Linked DNA regions of Callithrix jacchus. The protein of the gene in region 1 interacts with the protein of each later gene in a pairwise test. Links are inferred from orthologs where the notes say so. Each region holds a gene or a part of one and is shown on either strand. Other genes may lie near its edges.

Region 1 (11,045 bases):
CCACATAAGAACAAAAATCACAGGCAAAGAGAGCCAGGGTTGGACTCATTGCATTGTCAGGAATTGAGAAATATCTATGCCAGTTTTGAAAGATGGATAAGAAAACTCTACCTGTTGCCCTAGAGATGCAGGGTATAAGTGAGCTATATCCCATTGAGCTGTGAGTGGAAAAGGAGTCATGTCCTGTGAATTTGAACTCTGAGCCTAATCTGTGGATGGGTGTGAGATTCAAAATCTCTTATCCATACAGTGCAGAAATCCTGAGCTCAGAATTTAACATAAAAACTGGTCCGGAACACAGGAAATCTGTGAGGCCCCGGCAGCAGGGGTGAAACTGCTTCTTAGGGACATCTTTTCTATCAAACGAATGTGTTGAACTGCCAAGAAAGATAAGGTCTGCTAAAGATAAGTTCAGTAAAATAAAAGCAATAAAAAAACTTAAAAGTTCAAAAGAAAATCTACCACCATGTAAGAAAGGTGTCAAATCAAACAAGTAGAATTCAAAGCAGAGGAAATAGAAAATAGATAACTCTATGAGAAAAAGTTTAAATTAATTTATTCATTCACCAAATGTTTGTTTAATAACTACTATTATTCAGGCACTGTTCTAGATGCTGGGAATAGAAGCAGTGAACAAAATGGATTCATTTTTATCCCTTGTGGAGTTTACATTCCAATGGAGGGAGACAAATAATAAACAGGTCAATATGAAATATGCCAAGAGGTGGTATCACACAGCATAGAGACAGAGTGAGATGGTAATGCTATTTTATATAGGAAGATCAGGAAGTAGCCTCTACAGAAATGGCGGTCTCAAATTTTTGGGTCTTTTCAACTCATCATAGTCTAAAAAATAATTAAGAATTTCTTTTTGGTTGATTGTTTTCATGAGTTATATCTAGTAATATTTTCTGTATCAAAATTAAAACTGAAAAATTTTAAAACACTAATTTATGAATAACAACAATAATCCTATTGCATTTTAAAGATCATATTTGTATTTTAAAATGGCTTTCCAAAACAAAAATAAATTTTAAAAAGGAGCTGCATATAGATTTTTTACAAATCTCATTAACACCCGGCTTAATAAAAAAACAGCTGGAAACAGATGTGGTGTTTCAAGCCTGTAATTTCAAAACTTTGAGAGACTGAAGTGGGAGGATCACTTGAGGCCAAAAGTTTAAGACCAGTCTAGGCAACACAGCAAGATCCTGTCTCTACAAAATAATTTTTTTTTTCAATTAGCAGGCAGGGTGGCACAGGCCTGTAGTCCCAGCTACTCAGGAGGCTGAAGCAGAAGGATCACTTGAGGCCAGGGGTTAGCTGTTATTGTGCCACTGAGATCCAACCTGGGTGACAGAGTAAGACCCTATCTCGTAAAAATAAATAAATAAAAACAAATTAAAAATTAAAAAGAATACAGCTGGACTCCCATTTCTGCTTCTAGTCAATCTTTTGTATTGTTTTTCAGTTGGAGAATATGGAGTGCATGGGTATATAGTTGGAAATGATTGTGCATATTCTTTGTTACTACATCAAAATTCACCATGTGGTAATTCCTTAAAGATTAGTTGCAATGTGGAATCTGAAACCATTTCAATGAACTTTTCATTCTGTGTTGAAATACAATCCTTTGGTCTATCTTGCATTTTAAGTCTCTCTGTCATCCATGCAGAGTTTTGTAACTTTATGCATTACTTACTCCTTCCCTGAATTATGTAGATCCTCCCAATGTTGATATATTTCATAATATGCTTTCAAAAGTAACATTCTGAAACATTTTGAAACATAATGTTTCAAAAGTAGCATTCATATTCATTAATATCACTAACGAACTCACCAGAAAAATCTTTTAAGTACCAGGATGCTGCCAAGCTGATGGTAACAGATAGATAGTAATCCTCCAAAATTCTAATTTTTGTTTGAAAGCTTGTATATTATCATTGGCAAAATAAGAAGAATGTCAGATGTTTGCCTTGACATTTTAGGCTTACTTCATTTGTTTTTTAGAGAATTTTGCCAAACACCCAAATCTAAATAACTACAATTTGACTGTCAATTATCTAAGTAAAAATGGTGTTTCAGAAAAAGAATAGCTGGCTCATACTGCATCTCAAACAACTGCACACATGCTCTCGCTTGAGATAATCGTTGTACTTCAGAATATAGAAGTACTTTAGCTGTGCTTCCCATGTAATCATACACAATGTTGAAAACACATACACTCAACCATCGGTTTCAATAATATTAACATTTTTGACACTACAATCAAAGCATTAAATAAAACTAGAGGTTTTTGTTTTCTTACTGAGAATGCATGGCAGTGTAGAATACAATGACTACTAGTACAGTCTGGTGCCAGTGCCTCGATTTATGTTAAGGTGCTAACACTGTTACTCACCACTGCTTTTGCACTGTTAATGTGTGCATTAGCACAGTGAAAACGGCACATGGTGCCTTTGTATAATATTATCATGAAAATAGCTTGACCTTACAAACTCCCTAAAAGTGTCCTGAGGACTCCTTTGAATTCAGAGATCACACTTTAAGAATAATGCTCTAGGGTGACAACTGAGACCTAGGCTAACAACCGTCAAGATTTGCATGGGACTATCCTAGTGTTAGCACTAAAAATCTCACATGATTCTACTGGGAGAGATCTAAATGAAGTGAGTGAGCATGACAGAATAACAGCTATGGGAATCAGCATTTCAATTAGAGGAAACAGCAAGTGCAAAGGCCCTGGGGTCAAAGAATGATTGGCATATACCTATATAAAAAAAAGCCCAGAACAAAGGTTCACACCCCTAAAACCCTGACTGTCCTCAAGAAGGTGAGCTACTGGACAATGTCTAATAAAATACTCAAAGGACACTCAGTGACCTCGTTTGCCTGTTTCCAAGTTTTGGATAATTATTCATGACAAATGTGATAGCCTTTCTTTATAGAATTTCATTAAAAAATGAAAGTAAGTTTTTTTCTTTAAATGAGAACATCAAAAATTTTGAGTTTACAGTTAGGTTTATACAGTTGAAGTTGCTTGACGTCAATCCTGTAATTCCGGAAGGAAGGTGTTATATAATTTATTTGCCAAGTATTCATAGTGTGATTTAGCAGTTGTTCAATGAAATGTTTGTTGAATGAATAACTGTCAACAATAAAATTAAATTTAGGTAGGGTCTAAATTTTTCAATTAAGTGTAAAGAAAGAAAAAAGCACTCCAATTACAAAACTCCATTTCAATATTATAAATGATAGTAATTTGTGATTTTGTTCTTTCTCTAATTAGGTAACACAGTACCAAAGGATATGACTTTGCCTGCTGTTCTGGGAGGCTTCCTAACTTTTACCAATTAAAAAAAAAGAACACATACATATTGAGGCAAAAAAGTAAGTGGAGCCACCTTAAGTTACTTTTTTATTTCAATATAATTTTCCTTTACAAATTCATGAAATATTATTTTATTATTGTTATGGTGTTTATACAACAAGTTAAAATTGGAAACAGAAAAAAATAAATAAAATATTCACAAAATAGCCTCAGATTGTCCTCCATTTACTCCCTCTTAGGGAATATGGCATTATATTGGGTTTAATGTAATATGTTTATAAAAATTAAATGTCAAAATTATAATTATATGCCATTTTTTAAAAATAGAAGAACCTCTCTTAGATATTTAAAAGAAACTACCAATGTTCTTTGAGTCCTTAATTTTGGTTTGCCATCATCAATACTACACAACCTTTCCTCGACTATCAGAAGTTTTAGGTATATTGGGAAGCATGAATGAAAATCCAGAGCATGTTCTCATTTTTCTGTTTTCATATTACCAAATGTAACCAGGCATAGTGTAGCTGTCCAGTTCATAAAGTACTCATACTATATAACTTGAGACTTTTGCAACCATATATTTTAAAAGACTCATTGAGCCCTGCAAGGCAAATGCTATCATTCAAGTTCTAATTACATGCTATCCGGATTTTACAGAAAAGAAAAAAATGAATACTGTACTTCCGAAATACATTTATTGACCAGAAGCAACATCCAAAATAAATGCCCCCAAAATTTTCTGAATGTATCCCTGTACCATAGCTCAAGTACTGCTGAATTCAAATTAAGTTCTACTAACAATTTCTCCTTCTGCTGCTGCCATTTGATAAATGGGTCAATAAATGCCAAGTAAATATATTTTCATTGTTATTGGCAGACATATAATTAACTCAGAATAAAAGAAACAAGAAATCAATTTAGGCTTACATCTTCAGTTCTTCCATTAGTCATTTGCATTATAATTGTGGTTCTACTTTTAATTCTTTATGCACATATAAATACCATCTTGACTATAATTATAAATCGAACTATTCAATTATAAATTAGTATTGTATGAACTGTGAGCCTCATCTGTTAATTTTGTTAGATACAAATGTATTATTACCCACATATATGAGCTGGTTAAAAAGCAATGCATGCTTATGATATTAATTAGAAATTTCAACAAATGTTTCTAAACAATGGTAGGCATTTTCTCCGAATGATAGCTACAAATTATATTTTCAAAGACTCTCCCTATTATCTATCAAACTATTAGTACTAATTAATTCTTTCAACACACTACTGTATATGATATACTAAGTGTTAGATAACAAGCAGTGGGAATAAAAGATGGATAAGGAAAAAATTCCACATATGTTGCTCACAAAATAGTGGGGGATGCAAACACAAATACAGGTATGTATCATTTTACCAAGATGTCTATGGGAAGGCTTTATTGGTCATGTTTGAGCAACACCTGGAAAGAAGAGCTGATGGAGAAATGTTCGCTGGATGGAGTAATGTTCTCTGATTATTTCATTCTCAAAGAAATCTGAAAATTCCCCACAGTGGTAAGCTAAAATAGATATATTTGAAGCAAAAAAACTTCCTCAAACAGACTTCACATTACACATTGCTTGTTTAGTTCATCATTGGTTATTTAATAAATAATTTTGAATAACTCTGTCCCCACCCATAGCAAGGTCTTCATTGTGGCACACTTAAATAATGTTCTTTGCTTCCTAATAATCTATTCCCATCTTGACAATCAGAGGTCAGAAAGATCTTCCTAAAGCTACCTTTTTTTTTTAAATACGAGGTCTCCCTATGTTGCCCAGGATGGCCTTAAACTCCTGGGTTCAAACTGTCTTCTCACTTTAGCCTCCTAAGTAACTGGAACTAAAAGCACATGCCACCATACTGGGCTACCTAAAACCACTTTTACTGTTCCCCGATCAGAAATTTGCAGTGGTTTTCTGCTATTCCCAGATATCAGCCCTCTGGTTTGACTAGATTCCTTTAACATACGCACTGGATCATATTTGCCTCCTCTCTGTCTGGAATGCTTTTCTCCTGCTACTTCCTTCTGTTTGCCTCTTCAAAAATTCTATCCACCCTTCAAAATCCTCCTTCAAAAGCCATCAGACTCTCTTGCTTCTATTTAAAATAACAGAACTTTACAAACACTGCAGGAAAGAGAGGAATGCTAGTGGAAAACATAGTTTGGATGCCAGGCATGTCTAAAATGTGGCAGAGAATTTTAAAACAAAAGGCAGGGGCTTGTTTTGAAAGTTACATACAATTGTTATATCAACGTAGCACACAAATTATCATTCAAAATGTATATACTGCACCTACTTTTTAAGTAACATAATGATTCTTCTAATGACATTGTGCTCTTTTAAAACCTTAACCATCCCACAAAATAAACAACGAATTCTTCATTACCTTAGATTCTTTAGGGCAAATTCATATTGGAACTGAAGGGGTCACTGGATTCAGAACTTTCAACATTACCAGGCAACATGGAACTAAAACAGCCAGCACAAAAGTAGTGTGCTTCCTACCTGAAGGACAGCTGGTTAAACAGTGAAATATCCCCAAAAGTCAAGTGAAGGCAGGCTTTCTCAAGTAATAATTAGTATGCTCTACATTTCAATACCTTAGATTCCAGCTCGATTTTCTCTTCATTCAGCTTCTCCGTTGCTTTCTCAATTTTTTCACGACATCTGGTTATTTCCAACCTCACTATAACAAAAATTAAATTTTTAAACACATAGATCTTTCTAAAGTCCGATGTTGGCGGCGTTTGAGAAGCCACCTTTCAGCTGTCTTTCCCTCAGCATGACAAGCAAGCTCCCCTAAGGGCTCTGACCACTGCCTACGGGATTTCCTTCTGCTCCAAGCACCCAGCACCAGAAGACGAAAGGCCCCATGCAAAGGACAGAAATCCCCCGACCTTCTCGCATCAAACGGCGACTCTCCTCCGCTTGATGCTCGGTGAAGATGATGTGCTGAAACAGGGACTCCAAGCTCATCTCAGGGCCTGGCTCCTGCGATCCTTTTCTCTCCCTTCAAGATTTTATGACCAACCCTGAGGATCCTGGAAAGCACAATAAAGAAGATGGAGTCTTCTAGAACTATTCCCAGATAGGCCTTTGTCCAACTCTCGGTCGCCGGCCCAGCAAGAAGATGGAGCCGACGCCGGACGGAGTCTGCGGGGTCTGAGGGTCCAGGGACGCCGGCCGCTGCCGCCCCTTCCTGCCCTCAGCCTTGGTTTCCCGTTACAGTTTACAAACCGGGCTTTTCTCCCTCACGCCCTAAGAGGGCAGGTTCAAGGTCTGCCTTTTTCCCTGGTGGAACCCCTGACGCAGGCCCCCGTCCCCCTACGGGTTTGTCTTCGCTTTGGTGGCAATAAAAATAGCAGACCTTGGCTTTTGAGGGCGTGTGGGCAACAGCCCTTTCTGTAGTCAGCCCTTTAATCCCAGTCCTCTCTCATTTTAGGGATAATGTCCTCAAAGTGCTCTGTCTTTAAGCAAAATGATACTTGCCAACAAAACCCGGGGCCAAAACCTTCCGTATGCCAAGGGCCAGCGCCTCAGGTCCAGCTTTGCCTGTGAGAACCTAAACTACGGCGGCTCGTTTGGCCCATCCTGCGGTCAGCGGGTTTGCCCTGGGCACGTGAGCCCCGAAGGTCTTAGGCCCAGTTGCAGTTGAGATGCTCGGTATCCAAGGCATAAATACCCAATATTATAAAGCACAGAGTAACTATGATTCTAAATATAAACTTGCACAAAGTCTTTTCCTTTGACGATGGCAAAGACTGCTATAAATGTGCAATGTCTGACATTCCGCCTTAATCATTCCTTTGTAATCAGGGCATATCTTTTTTGTCTGCTTTAAAATTAATCATTGCCTTTTGTAATCAAGCTGCAGTAATATTAACACTTCAATATCTGCGCAATATGTGTCAGAGCACAAAGTGGTTGCTAATTAAAGCTTAAACATGAAAGGCACCTTTGGGACTTTTGCGTGGGATTTTTTTAAATCAAAAATTAAAATATTTTTAGTTTTAGTAGGTTGAAATACTGACATTATAATAAACATTTGACTTTATTTTTGAATGTAAAATTGACGTTGGTTGAACTTTAAAAAGTAATTTGTTAGAATTTATTTAAAATTAAGTAAAATAAACGTTTGACTTTATTTCTGAATGTAAAATTGATGTTGGTTGCACTTTAAAAAGTAATTTGCTAGAATGTGTTTAAAATTAAGTAAAATAAGGTAAATGTTAATTCTGCCACCTCACAATAGGCTTAATTAATGTTTCATTAATGATGTAGTCTAATCAGTTATGCATTTTAACTTATTCCAAATTTCCACCTTAATTTCCATCAAGCCACATATGCATAAAACTTAATTCTTTGGCTTTATTTTAAAAGAATAAATACTGAAAGGTATACAAAGCAGAAAAGAACTGCCCATAAGCATATTATTTAGAAGTACATATTAACAGTTTACCAATTCTCTTCCAGGTAGCCCTCCTCACTCTTCATTCTTCCTTTATAAACTTGAAATGATTGTGAATCAGTAATAATAATAATTTGTTATTGATTATTTGCCAGGCACTATTTTGAACAATTTATATCCTTTTGAGATGATTTTTGCCATCATCTTCATAGTGTAGTTGAGGAAACTGAGGCACAGAACAATTTAGTATCTTGCCATAGTATGTGGCAGTGAGAACTGAAACCAAGAAATCCGGAATCAGAAGTCATTAATTTAATTTTGGATTTTGTCTTTTTCCCTCTTATTACATTTCAGGCATTTTACCATTTCATCAAAAACTCTTCATAAATGTATTTTTATAACTCACAATCCTCCACCATAGAGAGGCATGTGTAAAATTTAGATATACCGAAATAAATTTGACTCTTATCTGTTCAAGGGTGGAAAACAAAGTTGAAATTGTGGTTTGAACCATTTCCTTTGAGCACTTGTTTGGAGGCTTATAAACTGTACCACAGCGGCCATCAAAGGAAAGGGCTTCCAGAAGATAAATTATATTACTAATTAATATCACTCCCTTCAGAGTTATTTCCCATGGACTTGCACAAGGAATGTCCTCACAAGGAGGCTGGTTTTCAAAAGCATGCTGCTATTTAACATTCCAATTTTATTAGTTACACTCAAATTCACATTTATTATTTAACATGCTCTTTCTGTGCTGAAACTTGGCAGAGTAAAGTTTGGGCAGCCTTTAGGGAGCACAGTTGCCTCACTTACATAGTATGGAAGAGAGAGCTGATGGAAATTCAAGAAAGTGGGTATGGGGAGAAATGGCTCCTTCATCTTCTGTAGTCATCTTCTTCTCATAACAGAATATTTTGGCCCTTTTAAATCCAAAGTTACAATCTTCTTAGAGGTATCAAACTATACACGTTAGCAGTTTTAAATTTTATTTTGTTTGTTGAAGCAAATATGATTTATATGAGCTTGCAACTCAAAGTTTAAGTGTTCCATAATAATAAAAGAGACATATTAAGAAAATTAAACATATTGCTATTGTTTAGGTTTATTTATACATTTTCTGTAGCATTAAGATAGTTTTTCTTATAGATATCCATGCTCATTACATCTTATAATGTTCAGAGCAAGAATAGCATTACTTAAATTTATGCCAGATAAAAATGGTATACAATGTGGTAAAACTTGGGCATACAGTTTTCTGAAAATGTACCTTATAAGTCTACAAAAAAAATGATTCATTCAACAACTGTTTAATGAGTTTCTGCTATTCATTCAACAGATATTATTGAGCATCTTCTATGTGCCGTATTAGAGAAATAACAACAAGATTTAATAAAACAGAACTACATAAAAAAGTATTTTTCTTCCCCTGGATATTTCTAACCTCACTGGAGAATTATTATATTTTTTAGCATTTTGGCAGCCGTATAAACAACTGCTTTCAGATGTCTCAACAGATGTTCTTTAGAAGGAAAGCCAATTATTTGCATTATGATACACAGATATGATTCTCAGACCTAAACTTTCCATCTGTACAAGTTTCATTGAATTGCATACCTATGAATATAAAAGTTAAGATCACTCATTGTCTCTCACCCTCAGACTTTCGTTCATAATAACAGTAGCACCTGGGTTATTGAGCCATTGATAATCGCTTTGCTAGAAGGCCTTATATAAGGCTATATTGCTCCTTTGATTTAAAATGCATTTCCTCTCCTTTCCTAGATTGATGACTTCCCTAAGTTCTAAACCAGGCTTGCAAATACCCACTAGCCACGGCATATATATTGCAATGGAGAGAAGACAAGTAATTCATTTGTTTTATGTTTTGTCTTAGGGCATCTGCCACAAAGAAAAAAATTATGTGGGTTCAACCAAGTTTAACAACCATTTATTGAGGATCTACTAAGTGTAAAATTCTCTGCTGGATACTATGGGGGATACAAAGTTGAAAAGATACAGACCCTACCCTCCTGGAGGTAATAGTCTATCAAATGGGACATAGCATGCACAAATAACTTCGAGGCATGCTGTATTTAAGAGCTTCACCCTTGTGCTGTGGGAACACAGGGGAGGGAGTGAGAATTCTGATGTAGGTGATCTAGGAAGACTATCAGTTGGATATAAAATATGAGCTGAGTTTTAAAGGAGGGTGGTTCTTCAACAAACACAAAGCAATGGAGAAAAGAAGCAGAATGTTGGTTGGGGTCAACATTTTGATGGTGTTTAACATATTTATATACGTGTTGGAGGACTACATAATGTTTGTGATCAGATAAGTGCTGTGTCAAGACTTGTTTTATGCAGCCTATTCACTGTCAAAGTCCAAGGGTGCTATAACAAACAAAATGCTATAAACTAGATAGCTTAGAAACAATGGAAATGTATTACTCATAGTTCTGGGAGCTATGAAGTCCAAGATCAAGGTGCCAGCGAATTCAGTGTCTGGGGAGGGCCCATTTCCTTGTCCATAGAAAGGGTCTTACTGTGTCTTCACATGGTGGGAGGAGCTAACTAGCATTCTGCTGTCTCTTTTATAAGGACACCAATCCTAATCATGAGGGCCTTCAAAAAGCCCCACCACTGAATACCATCACCTTAAGAGTTAGGATTTCAGTGTATGAATTTGGTGTGCGGTAACACAAACATTCAGGCCATAGCAGTTGCTATGAGACAATAACCATGTGAGACTTTGACATCTATTAATTCTTTTAATTGACCCAACAACCATAAGAAATTGATGCTTTTATTATTTTGGAGACTGAGGAGACATAGCCAAGTAACTTGTCCAAGGTCACATACAGTAGCTAGGAAGTAGTGGAATCAGAACTTGAATCCTGATAGTCTCTTAAGGCAAAGGCCTTAACCATTTCACTTTACCCACTCTAAAAACTAGAGGCAGGTGAAAATAAGACCATTTAAGTAACTGTGTTTTGTTTCAAGGTAGATACATTTTCCAAAAAAATGCTTATTACTAACAAATTAATATTTTTTAAAGAAATTTCAGACTTCTAGAATTTGGATTAATAATGCAGTGTATTTGTAATAAATTAAAATAAGATGTGATTTAAGGAAAAATAACTGAGACTGGGTTATGCATTGTTATAAATACTTATTCCACCAACCATAACACATAAAAGTAAAAAAGCAATTCATATGCAAAATATATTTGTTTTCTAATATTTATATTTGTTTCCTGGGG
Region 2 (10,348 bases), about 38 Mb from region 1:
TTTTTTTACTTTACATTCTGGGGTACATATGCAGATCATGCAGGGTTGTTGCATAGGTGCATACATAACTTGGTGGTTTGCTGCCTCTATTTCCCCTTCAGGCCTGTACTTCTTGACCATCTCCGAGAAACCAGGGCTGACAAGAAGAGACTGCGGAAAGCCTTAAGAGAATTTGAAGAACAGTTTTTTAAACAAACAGGAAGGTGCGTGTGGGCAGAGAGACTTTTAAAGCCTACTTCCTAGAGAATTATTGTTAATAATGAACTGCAATTTTTTGGCAGCAACAGTGACTTTTTATGAAATGTATATAATTCCCACACTAGCTTAGACTCAGGATTTGTTCAATCCAACATTCTGATAGTGCCAATATTAGGGATGTTTTATGGGACATGGCAGCTGTCAAGCATGACGTCAATCTGTAAAAAATAAAGGATAAACTCTAAAAATCTCTAAGTTTGCGCAATAAATCTCATCATAAATAAATGGATTTATTTAAACCTTTAAAAAATCTATTTTCATTTTTTTTAGCCTACATAATGCTTTGTTGTTGGTTTCTCAGTTCTGCAAGTTACTCCCTACTTTATTAAATAATAATTCCTTATTTGCTTTAAATGTCTTCCTTAGAAGTCAAGATCTGTCCCTAATTATTTGATTTCAAGACTTGATAAAAAAATTCATAGTCATTCTTTCTACCCCTTAAATAAATGGTTAGCTTTATCATCTCTCCTCTACTTTTCTGTGTAAACCCAAGTCTCATTATACACTCTATTAGTTTCCTCTAATTTTTGGTGTATGTATCAACAACAAAATTACATACATAATTGGGAGATAAGGGTTATTGATCCACTTTTGGAAGAGAGATAAATTACTTAAGTTATCTTGAGCCTCAGTTCCCACTTTATAAGCTGAAATGACTGGACTCCTAGAATACTTTGGGAAGCTACAGCTGTCACGTGAGATAACAATCTTTAAAAAAATAAATAAATCTAGAGTGTAACTTTCCCACAGCCACAAGTTACTAAGTAGATAACATGACATTAAACTCATCATTCAAGTCATAAACTTATCAGTGCTACACTGGCTTCTCTGTATTCATCTCCATTTAGGTATTGTATTTGACCTTTCAGTTCAGCAGGCTGAGAGTTGTCCTCAAGGAAAGGGACTATTTTCCCAAAGCACCTTGAAACTCTCAAGCTTGGTCTACTCACCTCTTAGTCCCTGGCAGGTTTTCCATGTTAGCCTGCCAGGGATATTCTTTAGGACTGGACCTATTGAGTGAAAAGCTCTTTGCATTCAGCAAATACAGATGTAACAACTTACTTTCTATCTGTAATCTTGAAGTTGATTGCTACAAGTCCAACTTACCTTTTTGGTGATGTTAACTAATCTAGTGAGAAATGGTATGTGGCTCATAAATTTAGAATATAAAGCATTTGTTACTAATTTACTTTTTCCATACTTTTTTCTTTTATAAAATGTTCATGTAACTTTCCTTGCAAAACATTCCTTTGAGTAATAATTTTTTCTGGACTGTCTGCTATATTTGGGTAAATATGTAACTTGCACTATAAAGTCCTTGATATCTGCCTCTTTTGGATTAATGGTATGTTATGGGAATTTTTCATTCAGGGAAATATTTGTGGAGATGTTATCAAATATTCTAAATCAAACAGTCATTACATATGATAAATGATACTTTAAGATGTGCATACATTATTTTCATAAATTTGAGTTCTTTGAATAAATTTATATTTTTACCAGTTTGAACCCAGGAATCTATCTTAAGGGGTCTGAGAACCTCCCAGTGTGCTACTAGTCCTGCCTAGTGGATCTGCAGTGTCACTTAGTATGCTTTTGGTCATAAAGGGAAGTTAGTTATGTTCTATGCATAGTATAGAACATAACTGACACTGCAAGTATGAGTCCTTTTTTTTTTTTTTAATGAGGGAAGAAAATAACAAACAAGTAGCCAACCAATATTTCATTTAAACCTGTGAGTGGCTGTGATGTGGTACTGATAAGAGTGTATATTTTATGTATTTAAAGTGGAGAGTTCTATAAATGTTTATTAAGTTTACTTGTTCCGGATCTAAGTTCAAGTCCTGGTTATCCTTGTTAATTTTCTGTCTTGTTGATCTATCTAATATTGATGTTGAAGTCTCCCACTATTATTGTGTAGGAGTCTAAGTCTCTTTATAAGTCTTATGTATCTGGGTGTTCCTGTATTGGGTACGTATATATTTAGGATCGTCAGCTGTTCTTGTTGCATTGATCCTTTTACCATTATGTAATGACCTATGAGTCCTAAGCCCAAGTCAGATAAGCCTATATTTGGCTTTGAAGTTTATGCCCCTTTGTGGTGACATATTTCAACTAAATGCACAAATGATGATCTTTTACAACTAAAATCAAACCATTGAATGGCTAGGAATTATGGACCTTAATTTTCTTTATCTAAGACATTTCACTGGGAAGGCCTAACTATCCATAAGGTAAAATAACTATGCAAATGAATTAAAATGTTTAAGACACTGTAAATGTTCTTGGTAATATTTGCCATAGAAGAGGCATGAGAATCATATAGATATTACATTATTATTAATAATTATGAGCCTGCCACTGTGGTAAGCACATCAGTATGTTTTATATAATGGGGAAACTGCTTCAGGAAAGACTTAGCAAAACTTTTCATTCGTGTCAAAGCACTCTTATTAACCAAAATGGAATATGTAAAACTAGGGAAAATTACATAATGCATTATTAATGGTTCTCTGTAATAATTAGGAAATTTCTTTACTTAGATTTATTTATAGAAATTAAGATGGTATTCAGACACCCAGTTATGATAAGTTTGACTCATAACACAGAATGAAGGTAAAGGATTTATGTTATATAATTTAGACAATAGTTAAGAAGAATGCTTTCTATGGATTTGTATACTGTTCTGAGTTCTGTACTAGAAATTGCAGGGCAATAAATAGTTATGAAATACAAGTAGATACTACATTCATAGACAATCTGTATAGATTAGCTTGTTTTTTATTTGGTAAGAGATAGAAATATCTCTTTATCACTATTGGAAAAATAGAAAGGGGTAAAGGTAAAACATTAAATATATGCTATTTACCTGGTTTCAGCCATAGTAATATTAGACAGTATTTGTGGTTATATTCAGTTGTAATTGTAGTGACTATATCCGTGTCCTCAACTCCTTAAATTTCAAAGTCATGGGTGCAAACGTTTTCAAAACAATTTGCTATCTTATTAACCAAAAAACAAGAGACTTTTGAGACCCTGTCGCAATTATTTCCTTTAGAAAACATTCTGACAACATATTTTTGTGGGAAGGCAAATGGTTTTAACTCCTCATGTTACCAAGGTATTCATCTAAGTCAACAGCAAGCGCATACTGCATATGTATAAAAATCTATGCATTGTTACATGTTTAGCCTTAGTAGAATTAGTGTACAGAAGAGAACCACTGCAATGTAGATTCTCATAAATTACTTCAATTAAGGAACAGATCAGTGGTTCTACTATATATTAGCAGACACAGGTATTATAATTACAAGAAAGTCTGGAAATGTTTCAAATTTGTAAGAGAGACCCTGAATGCTTTTCTTGTTACCATAAGTTATTAAATTATTTTTAAAATGTAATTTATGTAGTATTTTCAGGTTAATATTTTTAACCACTCTATTAGGGCTGAACATTTTGTACAAGTATAGGACTGTGACAGATAGTGGGAGAATGACTGGACAAAGAATGCCTTGAAAGTTTTGGTTTTTGTTTGTTTATTTCCCCTTAGATCTTTTCACTTACCCCATTGTTGTAAGTCTATGCACTGGACCACAAATTTTCAAAACACTTATGTCATTCAAGTTTTCAAAGGTTACTATTATTTAGAAACTTAAACACATGGAAGAGAGAGTGAATGAAAGTGAAAGGGAAGTAAAAGAAGATATGATGCAAAAACCAAGTGGAAGCTGTTACAATATGCTTTTTCATATTTGAATTGTAAAAGAATATTTAATGACTGGATTCATTGTGAACTAATAAACGTATTTTTTTTTTTGCAGAAGTCCACAAAAGGAAGACAGGATACCAATGGCAGATGAGTATTATGAATATAAGCACATAAAAGCCAAACTGAGACTATTAGAGGTCCTCATCAGCAAGCAAGATGTGGCCAAAACTATTTGAGGTTCAGGAAATGTTATGATTACTTTCACCCATGATATAAAGTCAAGTTTATTTTTCTCTGCCACCCTTGCTAAGTAGTTCTGACACAATGAAGATGGAAGCACTTTAGTTGTAGTCTTAGCTGTTTTTAAGAAGGATTAACAAGTTTAATTACATACAAGGAGAAGGGATTTAAATGGAAGGAAGGATACAACAGGTAGCCATATAATTGGGAAACAATTCAGTGTCCTCCATGCCAAGCAGAAAACTTACAGTCAATATAATTATTTTTAAAAACTTCTAATAGTTTATCAAATCTAAACAACATAGCTGGGACACTTGTTAGGGGAAGTTTTAGTATCCAAAGATTGTTTATGATGTATGAAAAAGAGCATGATTTTAAAAAATCAATAAGAGGAAGAAAACAAATTTTTCTTTTCAGGTAGGAAAGAATACAGCTAGCAAGAAAGTAATTTATTTGAAACTTCTGATGGATTTTGAGTGATAAAACATTTACTATCTTGTCCCTTAAGTCTGTGAGGCTTTCAGTACCCTAAAATAAACTAGATTGTGTCACTGCAATTTTTTTTATTTCTCTATAAAAATAACATTATTTTATCTGTTATTTGAAATTTTACATTTCTGGTTACCAAAGTTCATTCTGACAGCATGTACTTTGTGAATTACTATCTTTGTCTATAACTGACAGATGTTTATATTAAAATAAAATATTGTATTAAAAATTTAAAATAGGTATTTTGGATAGATATGTGTCTGCAGTATATAATCTAATGTGACCATAGTATTACTGCTAATCCTTTTGTTTACTATAAGATTATATAACTATTTTTTCATTGGGAGTATACATTTTTCTTAATGTTGCAAGGTATATACTTTGTAAAGTCAAAAAATTTCCCATGAGCTGAAGTTATTCTTCCATCTGTACAAAATGAAAGATTTGGAAACTGTTTGCCCTGACACCTTGGAAAAGAAGCCAGAATATTTATTTGCTTCATCAACTTTAGTGCATATCATTTTGTGTTATTTTATACTAAGACCTGTTTATTATTTTCATTTTTGTAAAAGGAAGTAAAAGGGCAACATTTTCTCTCATGTAGCAACCATGTTTGTATTTCTATTTTCTGTAATGTTTAAGAATGATGTTGAAGAAATTCACATTTTCTTATAGTTTTAATGGGAAGACTATTGACTATTTCAGAAATAGACTATTTCAGAGGCTTATTGTTTTCTCTGTATTTACCTAATATTTTATAACTTTATGAATCAGAATAATGTCCTTCATAAATTTGTTTAATTGAAGTCATCTACTTGTAACAGGACAGATACAGAATTATTTGAGGTTTACAAATTACATCTTTGATAAGGGAAATGATTTCATGACATGTATACAATTGCTATTAAAATGTAACTCTATATATTCTATATGATTGTAAATATTTTATACAACAATACAAATAAAATATTTTTCTATTATATTTATTATGTTGATAACACAGTAGTTGTTTCCTGTTAGCTAATATAAATAACATAAATAACACTGTCAAACAAGGAGTTGGAAATGCTGACAATTCTAGGCTTCAAGATTTAACTCATGCTGCAATTACACCCTTTCATGCGATTTGGAGTTATTCCAATATTTATTCAGTAGATTAAAATGAATGCATATTTAAACACCATTTATAAGCCATTATTTTGTACTTTGCTAAAGCAGTCTATATAACTGTTTTGTTATGTTTGGCATAAAGGAAACATAAAAACATTGCAGCAACTAGGCAATAAAGTGTCAGAAGAACTTAGGGTATGTCATCATTGAAAGTAGTGGGAGGGGTAGGGAATAGGAAAACACTAAAATGGCTCTGAATGAAATTTGGAAAGTGGTATTTTGTTTTTGGCGACAGTGGCATGTGCATGCTTCAGTGGAAAACATCTGATGATGAAAATGGACAACAGAGGACCAATGCTCCTAAGGGAAGAAAAGGGGCTGAGTAAGAATAAGAAGAGTGGGCATTAACGTCCAACACTGATATTACAGGTTTTGCAGCTGGGATCTTTCTTTGCATTTGCAGTAGACAAACTCATGAGCTGATGACCAGTGATTTCTGCCACGGTGCCCAGAGAAAGATCCACAGGGTCAGTGTAAATGACTTCTAAAATGACATCCTGGGCATGGTGGTAAACCAGCACCCCATCTTCTTCTGTACAGGTCAAAAATTTATTATCCTTAGAATTTAGTTGAGGAAGGCGCTGCTTACAAAATTCATCTCCTGGTGATCCCACAGGAGCAATAACAAGAATCACATAATGATAAGCAGTGTACATACAGTAGAAGTCCCCAAAGTATAAGTTAGTATTGGGGTTAAAAAGTTTTTCTGCTGCAATCTCAAACCTGTATCTTCCATAAGGTGAATCCTGGGGTGGCTTTCCAGTATTGAATTCAGTGCTGCAGCTGAAGAAGATGCCTTCTAATTTTCCACTGATAGGAGAGCCATGGCTACCACTGTTATCCTTGACAGAGGGCTGCATAGCATTCCCATGATGTTCTCTGCAAGAGAAAACAAGTGGTCACTGCTTAATACAATTGTGGTAAACCCATTGATTTATATATTTGAATGGCCCACATGTCAAACATCTACTGTTAAAGGCCTGAATACCTCTCCTATCAGACTAAAGGGGCAACATCTTTTGATATTGCCTATAGATGGCTGAATTCTATCCTTGACCTTAAGGTAAGGATGATCTGCTACAAACCTTGCATTAAATTAACATAATTATATAAATTTCCTCACCAGAAAAATTAAACTGGACTTAGAAACCTTACAGGTAAAATCATACATACATTAACTGCCAACTAGGTTTCAGAAGTGGCTTTTTGAAGGGAAAACTGAACTAAAGGTATTGGCTAGTTAAATATATTGAATGTTTTTAAAATGAGTCCTGTCCATTTATACTGGTACAAAAGTGTTGTGTTTTGTTTTGGCTTTTTAACACAAGGATGGTTTACTAATCAGGTTATTTCTCTGGCATTTTGCTTAGAACAGTGCTGGTTATTCCCCCTTTACCTCACCCTCAGATCCATTCATTCTCCACCACAGTCTTCCACTGTGGCCTGGAACTCTTATTCAGTTCCTTATCCCTTGGACTCTTCCATTTCAGTTCTACGAATGTAAGACACCAACATATATAGAGTTGGAGGAGATAGAGACTTTGGTGTGTCTTTCTATATTTCCTCCATGCTTCAGGGCATTCTGTTTCTGGCAGGGCTGGGTTCTTCATAACTATGTATACCTGACTACTGCTACTGCTACTGCTGGATGAGTTCCTACTCCCTTTAATTCCCAAGAAGAGTAAAACTTTTCAATTCCTGCTAGTTCTTGGTTACATTAGCATCCCTTACTTGGTATCTTAACCCTGACTACACCTCTATAATGGGTAGTTTTGTTAAATTCTCTCCAGAATCCCTCAAATGTGCCTTGGTTTTTTTATTTTGTTTTGTTTTTTGTTTGCTTTGCTGGCTCCCTGACCAGTATGACTTGGGAGGCAAAGTTCAAGCTACGACTCAAGCAAGGGAAAGTTCCCTGGGTCAACGTGCTTCTTAAAGAGTTTATGGATCATTGAGATGTGCACTCGATCTACCTCTGAATTTAGCAGCAATGGATCTTAAATTTACCACCTGAAAACCAGCTAGGGAGCTTATTTTATGCAAATTCAAGGAAAGACCAAAAAATTGTCGCAGTTAAGAGAATAAGGAAATATAACAAATAAATGCAGTGTGATATTCTGGATGTGACCCCATACTTTTACTTGGACTGTTCTTTTTTCCTTCTGATGTTCCAATATTCCTTCTTTTATTATTTCCTTCTTTCCTATTTCAGAAACTTCCTTTAAGATAGATATGCTGTTGACAAATCCTCTTAGTTTTCCTTTATCTGAGGATATCTTAATTCCCTTTTATTCTTGAAGGATATTTTCACTGGATATAGAATTCTCAGTTGACAGTGCTCTTTCAGCATTTGAAAATATTATACCACTTCCTTTTGGTCTAGATAGTTTCTGATGATGATGTCATTCAAATTGTTTTATTTTTCCTTACACATAAGGTGTCTTTTCTCTCAGCACTTTCAAGGTTTTTTTTTGTCTTCAGTTTTCAGTTTGTGATGTATCTTGGCATGGATTTCTTTGGATTTACCCTATTTAGGGTTTTCTTAGATCGAATCTGTATGTTTATGTTGTTTGCCAAATTTGGGAACATTTTGGCTATTATTTCTTTGAATACTTTTTCAGTCCCACCCTCCTTCTCCTTTCCTTCTTGACTTAGTCTCACAAGTCCATAAGACTGATATATTTTTTTTTTCAGTGAGTTTTATCTCTGTTGTTCAATTTAGGTAATTTCTATTCTATCTTCAAGAAGTTTACTGGTTTTTTTCTTTGTCCTCTTGAATCTGCTGTGGAACGCATGGAATCTATCCAGCTTTTTACTTTACTTACTGTGTGTTTATGTTCCAAATTTTTCATTTAGTTCTTTATACCTTCTCTTTCTTTGCTGCTTCAAATGTGTTAGTATGTGCTTGTTGAACCATTTTTATGGTGCCTGCTTAAATATCTTTGTCAGATAATTCTAAGATCTGCATTATTTTGGTTTTGGTATCTTTTATCATCTTTTCTCATTCAGGTTAAGACTTTCCTGGGTCTTGGTGTGATGCATGAGTTCCATTAGTATCCTGGACATATTATGTTATTATATTCTGGATCTTATTTAAATCTAGTATTTTAGCAGTCCTCTTCTTGACTACCAATGGGTGAAGAGTATGGGGTAGTCACTTAATTGATGTTGATGGGGATAAAAGTCCAGGTTTCCTACTCAGTCTCCAGTGACACAGGCTAGGGGGTTCAGTTACTACTTGGAGGAGATAGGAGTTTAGACTCCCACTAGGCCTGTGCTTACATACTATAGGCCAGAGAGAGAAGGGGTGTCTCATTACTACTTGACATGTAGGTTTCACAAACTATGAAGGCAACCCTCATTGTCTCCGGGCAATGGTGGAAAATCCAGTCTCCCTATTCAGCCTTCTCTGATACCACCCTAGCAGAGGGTAGAGAGAGGGGGGTGTCCCCTTATAGATGTGAGAGGGTAGAGGTTTAGGTTCCCCTCTTAGCCTTGGCTGGTAGATGGGGGACTACAGTTTTTTTTTTTTCTACAGTGTTTGCCTGGAGTATGGCAGTTATTGTCCAAAAGGTTTCTGTATTGGAAGACCTCAGTTTCTTTCCTGATCCTGTGCATAAACAAACATACTTTCTGGTGTTCTTTTTTTTTGTTTGTACCAACTGGCATGTCTGTGTTGCCAGATACTCCAGCACCTAGTCCAGAATGTAAGAGGTTAAAAGAAAACCCAAGGAACTCACCACTGTGCTGTTGAATCCCAAAGGTCCCTAGCTGATACATCTTCTTTCCCCCTTAGTTTTCTTATATTTATTTTATATATAATGTCCAGTGCTTTTAGTTGTATTTAGTGGGAGAAATAGGGAAAAGAGTGTCTACTCCCTTTTGTCCCCATTCAAAATTTCTCACCCTTGTTACATTCTGATTAACAAAACCCAAATATCTATATTATATGTGTCCTACCTGGATCTATAAGTGCAATGACATGAAATAATAGCAACAAATATATAAACAAAATGTGTACTAGAAGCTGCACTTTGGGAATATACAATCTGACACCAGAATGAGAGACATTCCTACATGTCTACCAATCTCAGTGAATTCCTGAAATCTTTCGGATATAAAAGGAGTTTCAAGGACAATTAGACTACCTAGTGAATCTGAACAAGGGGTAAGAGAGAAAGTGGTATTTTTGTTTGGAGTATGGGAAAGCAATGTGCATTTAGGAATTCATTTATATAGGAAGAGGTCAAAATGAGTTCATTCCTTAGGAACTGAATAAGGATTTATCCAGTTTTTCATAATTTTAAATGGATTATAAACTTTGGAAAGTTTATCCAGTAGCTGAAAGTTTCTATTCAAGCATTCTGAATAACATGATGATATTTAAAATGGATTAAGGAAATGTGTCCTAATTAGAATTAATGACAAAAAGAAAATCAACATCCATGGAATTAATGTCTACTACTTTTTAATAAGGCTTCTTTA

Evidence for each region.
Region 2: the proteins of CCDC172 (region 1) and FAM13C interact in binary tests that used the Homo sapiens proteins (3 or more experiments, as listed by UniProt). The two-hybrid records come from large-scale screens. The link is inferred for Callithrix jacchus from reciprocal best matches to the Homo sapiens genes CCDC172 and FAM13C.

What each region holds. Positions count from the first base shown.
Region 1 is NC_133513.1:109,273,064-109,284,108, reverse strand, and holds the start of CCDC172 (coiled-coil domain-containing protein 172), read right to left. Parts: upstream 6,950-11,045; 5' UTR 6,865-6,949; intron 6,417-6,864; 5' UTR 6,352-6,416; coding exon 6,273-6,351; intron 6,062-6,272; coding exon 5,976-6,061; intron 1-5,975.
Region 2 is NC_133513.1:71,263,281-71,273,628, forward strand, and holds the end of FAM13C (protein FAM13C), read left to right. Parts: intron 1-101; coding exon 102-203; intron 204-4,079; coding exon 4,080-4,203; 3' UTR 4,204-5,676; downstream 5,677-10,348. Other genes in the region: PHYHIPL (phytanoyl-CoA hydroxylase-interacting protein-like), read right to left, coding at 6,211-6,745.